Caenorhabditis elegans: one gene and its partner. The protein of the gene in region 2 interacts with the protein of the main gene of each other region in a biochemical or structural test. Each region holds a gene or a part of one and is shown on either strand. Other genes may lie near its edges.

The links.
Region 1: the proteins of ift-74 (region 2) and ift-81 form a complex in vitro, tested with the Caenorhabditis elegans proteins (one study listed by BioGRID).

The regions. Positions count from the first base shown.
Region 1 is NC_003284.9:5,296,454-5,300,383, forward strand, and holds the start of ift-81 (Intraflagellar transport protein 81 homolog), read left to right. Parts: upstream 1-2,107; 5' UTR 2,108-2,178; intron 2,179-2,211; 5' UTR 2,212-2,242; intron 2,243-2,273; 5' UTR 2,274-2,296; coding exon 2,297-2,427; intron 2,428-3,020; coding exon 3,021-3,140; intron 3,141-3,197; coding exon 3,198-3,321; intron 3,322-3,593; coding exon 3,594-3,674; intron 3,675-3,761; coding exon 3,762-3,916; intron 3,917-3,930. Other genes in the region: ags-3 (Tetratricopeptide repeat protein 28), read right to left, coding at 187-310, 359-504, 1,112-1,247, 1,295-1,445, 1,501-1,573.
Region 2 is NC_003280.10:6,677,800-6,681,729, reverse strand, and holds the start of ift-74 (Intraflagellar transport protein 74 homolog), read right to left. Parts: upstream 1,675-3,930; 5' UTR 1,597-1,674; coding exon 1,506-1,596; intron 1,427-1,505; coding exon 1,245-1,426; intron 1,087-1,244; coding exon 981-1,086; intron 932-980; coding exon 645-931; intron 591-644; coding exon 83-590; intron 1-82. Other genes in the region: H43E16.1 (VWFA domain-containing protein), read right to left, coding at 2,439-2,643, 2,690-2,761, 2,809-2,886, 2,944-3,083, 3,128-3,930.

The DNA of each region.
Region 1 (3,930 bases), on a different chromosome or scaffold from region 2:
AAACTTGGAAAACGAGATTGGCCTTAAAAGGTAAAATAGAAATAAAAATATCCTCATAAACTTTTGATCTACGCGTTGAAGGCAAAAAAAAAACTAGATTTCCGGTTTGAACCACAAACCACGCGACATTGCATCATCACATCCGTTCCGAAAAAGGGTTCTTACGTATTTTCAATAAAAACTCACAAGTTTATGAAAGTGGATAGATTGGTCATAGTCTCCAAGGCAATAATAAGTATTTCCTAAGCTGCCGTAGCATCGCCCCATCGTCAGCGCATCTTCCGATTTTTCCGACATCTCCAGATTTAGCCTGCAAATTTTAAAATCTTTATTAGGAAGATTGAAGTAATGAACTCACATAAAGTACTTGGCAGCATTCTCAAAATCCGAAGTGGCTTCTGCATTTTTGGCGTCATTTTTCTCTTCAGCAGCTTCCAGTTTTGTGCATCGCCCTCGCTCCACATAAATCGTCGCAATGTTGTAATAAGCTCGAGATTTGAGAACCTGAATTTTTTAAATGGAAAGTGTAAATTATCTGAATGCAATTAGGAGTTTCATTCTTGAATAATTGCGTTGTGCCTTATTTTGAAAAGCTGAAATATTTCATAGCAATATTCACAGCTGCTTCTAACAAGTTTCTAGGCAAGCATTCTGGAATCTTTTGGAATATACATTTTTATTTGAAAACATCTGAAACTTTTTCACCCAACTCGATCGAGAAATGTTTCAAGCTTCCAGAATGTTTGCATACCTGTAAACTTTCCGAAAACCACTAGAAGTTCGCAAAAATCAACATTGGATGCAATTTCACAGCTCTATTAAATATTGATCCTTTTCAGATGGTTTTTATGGTAGTTCAACGTGCTCTTCTGCCGCTAAATTTTTTGTGGTAACCTAGTTTGCAGGTCCCCTTTCAAATGACATAGATTTCATTCAGAAGTCTCATTGTAGGCTGAAATACTTTCCTTGTAACTATGGTTTATGTTGGAAACTTCGAAGAAAATTTAAGATGGAACTTTGTACATGTTTGCTAGCACGAAAATAATAAATCTCCTGTTGGTATAGCAACGGGTGCATTTTTTTTTCAAGTACAAAATCAAGTTCTACTCACTCTATCGCCCAACTCTTCGGCAAAATCCAGCTGTTTGAATGTGAAGGTGAGCGCGTCGTTGTAAGCGCCTTTCATCTTGAATATATTTCCCAAGTTGGCACACGACTTTGCTTCTCCCTCCTTGTTTCCAAGCAATCTGAAATTTTGTTTATTTTTTGTTTAAATTTCTTTCGCATTCGTTACCTTTCAACAAGAATGTCATACGTATGGAACTTGAGAGCTTGCTCATAATCTTTAAGCATTGTGTGTGCATTTCCGAGCTGACAATAGATAGCCGAGAGTAATGAAAAATCATCTGTGCCTACTTCCAACGCTTTTTTCAACAAGTCGATGCCTGAAATATTCAAATTCAATCAATTATTTACAAATAATAATAAAAAAGAAGTTACCTTTCTCATACTTTTGCATGCGAAAAAGACGTTCCCCTTCCTGTGTGAGCTTGTAGCAGGAACGGTCCTGCATCGCACCTTTCCCCGCTGCAAAAAAAAAATCGATTGATATTCTTCGATGACAAAGATTTCAGAAATCTGCACAATACTAGAAAAAAGGAGAGAAACACAAGCGATTAAGATTGAGAAAGAAGAATCGAAATGTGGTCTTTCAGAACAGAAAGGGTGGTCAATGTAGAAAAAAAGGTATTTGAATGATTTATTCGAACGAGTACGGACCAACAAACTCCTCTGTTTGTTCGTTGCACGGCCGCTCTCAGTACATGGAAAGAAACGTCCTTGCTATGTCTGCGGCAGCTCTCTCGTTCACTCCTCACGACAGATGAGCTAGTAACCGCGCGTTGACGTCATTTGTGTAAAGACGGCTAGGAAGTATTGTTTCGAGCAAAATATTTGTTAATTTAAAATGACAAAGGAATATAAACTGATAGTCTTAAAAGATACATTACTCAAAAAAAAACTCTCATATGAAAAATATAAATTATTACCTTAGAGTATCAAAAGTTCACATTTAATTACCACTCACTCAAAACAAATCTCTAACCACAGTTAATTACCAACAAACTGATTCAACTTGTTCAACTTCTGTTCCCTTTTCAATACTACTTGAAACATTTCACACTCACATAGCAAAGAGCCCAGCAACAACATATATTTACGTCGTGTTGCCCTGGTAACCGGGAGCGCTGCTCGACGAGCTCGCGTTTATTGTCATCACTAACGGTGTATCCTTAAGATGTCGAACGATATTCAAGGGTTTATTCTCCACTTTTTGAATGAAGAGCCGTTCAATCTCAACTTATCATCACTTCAATTCGACCAATTACCACCGCAGCAGTTGCTCCAAATTTTGAGTAATGTTTTGAGGTTGGTTAAGTCAAAAAAAGAAATTTAAAAAATGCGATATCGAGAAAAAACAGTTATGGTGTTTAAAATATTCACAAAAATTTTCCAGAAACGTGTGCTACATTTTTTGTGACAATTAAAAAACAGCTACTTTATTATTATTGTATCGTTATTTTTTCAAGAATTTTTCAAAGAAATATAAATAAATTTTTTTAATTTCTAAAAATAGCTTTACCTTTAATTGTACTTTTGGATGTTGCTCAAAAAAAGGCACAAAGTTACAATGTGCGTGTTAAATTTGCTGGTTGGCAAACTGATACTAATGTCAGTTTTTGAGCAATCTTCTTAAACTTTCTATTGAAAGTAATTATTTTATAGATTGCTGTGTAAATTTAAAAAAAATTTGACACAACAATAAAGAAAAGGGGTATCAGCAGGTCCACTTGGGTAGAATGTTCAAAAAATTCGGTTCTTTCTTATTTGTTTGCAAAATTTCAAAAGTCATAAAAAAATTAAGAAAAATTTGAATAAATTTTTTACAAACACATAAATGCTCTCACTGATAAAATTGAATTTAATAATATAAGAACAACGAAAATTTTTAAAATGTTCAGCTGGGTTTCCGACACGGACCGAATTGATATCAAAAGAGAGGCTGCTGAAGAGACTGCAATTCGTATTCTGAATATGCTCCGAATTCTCCGCTACAGACCACCGCAAGACCAGGATGAACAGTTCGTGCAAAACGAGGGCAATCACTAAACAGCATCTAATTTGACATTATATTACAGGGAAGAATGGCGTGCAGGGATTGTCGAAGGTCGCAAGACTAGCCTCTATCCTCTTCTGGTTTTTCTTTTTGAAAACTCAGAAGGTTTGAAAGAGCGCGCATATTTGTCAAAATATTTGATGAAGGTAATGAATTGCTATGCCAAAAGCCGACATGTTATGCTAGTGGTTTCTGGGGGGAGAGAAATAGATGTTGTCATTATTTTTTTTAAAAGAAAAATGATACATAGAGAACAAGCATCGTTCTGCTTGAATAGCTGATATAGTAGGCAAGACAGCCGAAGTTTTTGGTTTAGTTAGTCTCTGATCTAGGTACACATTGAATTAATGAATCAAGAAATGGCTAAACAGCTTCGCACTTTTTTGTAATTGGAAATACGTAAATTAATTATTTTCAGACAGATGTACCTGGAGAATTCTTCGATTATGATATTGAAGAGCTGCAAAATGAGATTGGAGAGTTGACAATGGAGTTTAAGGTTAATCACATGAGAGATTAGTCGTCACGATAGTGGATGAGCAAAAAAAAAGCAAAAACAAAAAAAAACAAAACAACTTTTCTACAGGAAATCCATGCTGAAATGAAAGGAATAATGGCAGACGTACTCTTGCTTGATGACATAAAAGAGGATTTAAAGTCAATGGAAAAAGAAAAACAAATTTTGCTCCGAAAGATTGAGAAGACCGAGAAGAAAGTGCAGAATATACCATATTTTGATAAGTAAGTTCAAATAA
Region 2 (3,930 bases):
ATATTTAATAGATACGTCATTTCAAATACCAAATACCAAACACAAATGCACAATAGTTTCTTATCAAAAAAAGGAAACGTACTGATTTGAGCTTCTCCTTGTGAGTCATACTCGTGTAATTCTTCTGAAGCCAATGAAATTTGATCTTTAACAGTTTTGTGTTGTTTCTCAATCACAACCAAATCTGCGTTCAATTGTTTCATATTTTCTGACATTTTATCTCTCCATGCTTCTGGTGTTAGTGCACTTTGCATATCTTCCATTAGTTTTTCCTCTTGTTTTTTGAGTGTATCCAATGTTTCTTGTAGTTGGATTGCCTTCTTTTTCAGTGGATTACTTCGAATTTCAATTTCATATTTTGAAATTCTATCATCTAAATCTTCATTTTTCGCTTCCATTTCTACAACTCTTTCTCTTAAAAGCTTCGCTTCAGACTTTAAATCTTCATATTTTTCTTTCATTTGAGGATCCATTGCATGTGTTACTGCTTCATTTAACTTTTTTTGTTCTTCAACTTCTATTTCCAATCCTTGAAGTTCCTCTTCTTTTGCACGACGTTCATTAAATACTTCTTCAGCTAATGATCTCATCTATAATTATATAAATTATAACTTAAAGTGATCTTTCATCTACAGTAATCTAACCTCATCAGCTTGTTCCTTCATTTTGCTTGCTTCTAACTCAATATCCGACATATCGCCATTCAAATGAATTTTTTCCATTATTTTATTCAAATCCAATAATTTTCCTTGCAAATCACTAATCTCTTGTGCTTGAGCAGATGCTCTTGATTCATATGCATGTAGCTCATTTCGATCTTTTATTCCTTTATCTCGTTTCTCTTTCATACGAGATATTTCAACTTTTATAGCGTTTTGTTTCGCTCGAAGAACTCCGATGTAGTATGATTTGTCAAATACTTGACGGGAGTCTGGAAAATGTTTGATTAAAATTTAGAATGGAGTCTAGAATATACATACTTCCAGTTCCCATTCTTGACGGAGGAGCTCGTAATCCTTGTTGAGTAACTGGTCTCAATCCGGCTGTTGGAGGTCTTGCCATTCCAGTCATTGGGCGTCCACCCATCTGGAAATGTATTAAAAATTTTGAAAAATATGTATTTACTATTGTGCTATCTAAATCTCAATTAAAATTAAAGTTCAGTCAGTGTTGTTTTTAGAAATTTATTTTGGAAATCTATTTCCGATAGGTAGATTTTCTTGATGCTTTATAGCTATACTTACAGAAGTAGGTGCTCTTGGAGGTCCCCCAGCTCTTGACACAGGCATCGGTGCAGGAGGTCCACCAGATCTAGACGGAGGTACTGGAATCATACCACTTCGTGATGGAGGAACAGGAGGCCCTCCGTTTCTCATTGACATTCCAGTCGTTGGACGATTTTCGTATGTTGGTTGTGGTGGAGGAGCTACAAATTTTATTTTAGGTAACGAAAATTATTATTTTTCTACATAGATTTGGTAAGAAAAATACAATTTCCCTATTACCTCTCATTGCAGATGGAGGTCTAGCCCGTGCCGACGGTGCTCTTCCGGTGGAGGTTCGAGGACGAGAAGATGCAGTTGATGGGCGTTCCATTCTTCTTATTTTTCAGATGAATACCTCTTTTGTGTGAATAGAAGCGATTAGAATAACGTATTTGTGGTTGATGCGTGTTTAGTTGTCATAGAAACAAGCACACTCCAGCTATGGAATATGTGAGAAAGTGCGCTCTAGAATACGAACACCGTTTCCATGGAAACATGTAATATTTTTATTGAACCCACATAGTTGAAAGAAATTATTAACTTGGAAAGACCATTCTGGTTTGTCAGCAATTCCAGATAAATCTCCATGTCCTACACCAGCAGCTACCGTTATAACTTTATAACCTTGATCTCTCAAAGTCTTAAGATAGAGTAATGTCATTCCATTGTTATCATCAACACTGAAATATATATTTGAAGACGGCGTGTAATATAAATAATCTTACTGGTATCCAACGACAATGGTAACAGTATTTGTTCCGTCCGGATAACTCTCGCTAAGCCACTTGAGACCACTGAAAAAAGTTAAACAATTTTGTTTATCGAAAAATGTATATCTTACTCTGAAATTGTAGTGTCTGTCGATAAGACAGCATTGGTGGAAAGAGTATCAATATTACTCTGAAGATCAGATATACTTCTGAAAAATTAAAGTTTTTGATTAATTAAGGAATTTAATGAAAACTTACTTTGCTTTTTATTTATGTTTTTTTTTGGTGTCGTGTATAAAATAATCGACGCAATAAAAGATGATTTCCTGCAAAATTTCCAAGTTTAGAGAAACCTTTAGCGACACATTTAAACCAATCAAGCGCTCTGTTATAGGTAATATATTTATTTCTGAAAGAAATGGGTAAACTTGCACAGTAAGGAAAGATATCAGTGGGGAGATGATTATTTCAAGTTGCAAAGAATAGATGAGATCTGATCAGCAATATTTTGTCCATTTGAATCGTTTACTTGGAAATACCATTCTTGTTTATCCGGAATTAGGGAAAAATCTCCATGACCTTCACCAACAGCTACCGAAATCACTTTATATCCTTGTGCTCTGAGGTCTCGAAGAGTGAATGTAGTCATTGCGGGGTTTTCATCATCGCTGAAATTGTAGATTGATAAAAAATTTGAAAATTCACAAATCTTACTGGTTTCCAACAATAATGATAACTGCATTTGTTCCAGCTGGATCTCTATTAGCATGAAGCCATTGAAGCCCGCTGCAAATACATTAATCAATCAGAACTTTGATAAATGTTTTACTCACTCGGAAATTGTGGAATCCATCATCAAAATAGCACTATCTAATAAATCAGATATGTTGTCTTGAAGATTCGTTAAACTCCTGAAATATTTGCCGTGCTATGTTATTTGAACAAAAACAAAAATAAATTAAACATACTTTGCCCCACCATATTGTAAAAATTTATTGGTAGGATAACTGTCGGTTTGTCCATATGGTACATTGATTGCTTGTGTAGTTGAAGTAAAATCATAGTTGACTGAGTTGTACAAATTATTGGTCACAAAGTTTACAACATTCTGGAAATTTAAAACTTAAAAATTGGCAAAACGATTGTTCTTACCGTCGCACTGTTTGCACTCAATTCAAAAACAGTTGCAATCTTTCCACTGTACGGAGAAGCACATGTTGGAGCTTGGGAAGTGGATGAGACAATGTTAGATGTACTGGATGCTACTGTTGATGCAACACTACTGCTTTGAGAATTTACAGTAGTTGACCCAGTGTTCCCTTCAGTTGAGGATCCTTGTGTTACAGTAGTAGCTACAGTGGTCGATCCAGTGTTTGAATTTGTTTGAGTTGAAGATGATCCCTGCGTACTTGCAATTGTTGGTCCACTGGTAGATGATCCTGGGTTTGCTGTAGTTGATGATGCAATCGGTTGAGTTGATGATGATGCAGAAGTGCTTGAAAATGCCGATGGCTGAGTTACAGTTGATCCTGTAGATCCAGTATTAGGATTTGTTTGAGTTGAGGACGATCCTTGGGTAGTTACTACTGTTGTTCCACTGGTAGATGATCCTGGGTTTGCTGTTGATGATGCGATCGGCTGAGTTGATGATGATCCAGATGTGCTTGAAGATACTGGAGGGTTAGTTACAGTTGATCCAGTAGATCCAGTATTAGAATTTGTTTGAGTTGAAGAAGATCCTTGGGTAGTGACCGCTGTTTGCCCGCTGGTAGATGATCCTGGGTTTGCTGTGGATGATGCGATTGGCTCAGTTGATGATGCACCATAAGTACTTGAAGAGGCCAGCTGGTTAGTTACAGTTGAACCAGTTGATCCAGTGTTAGTCATCGTGCTCGATGGCAGCGAAGACTGTGTTGAACCCATTGTACTGGATCCAACAGTCGATCCTGAACTAG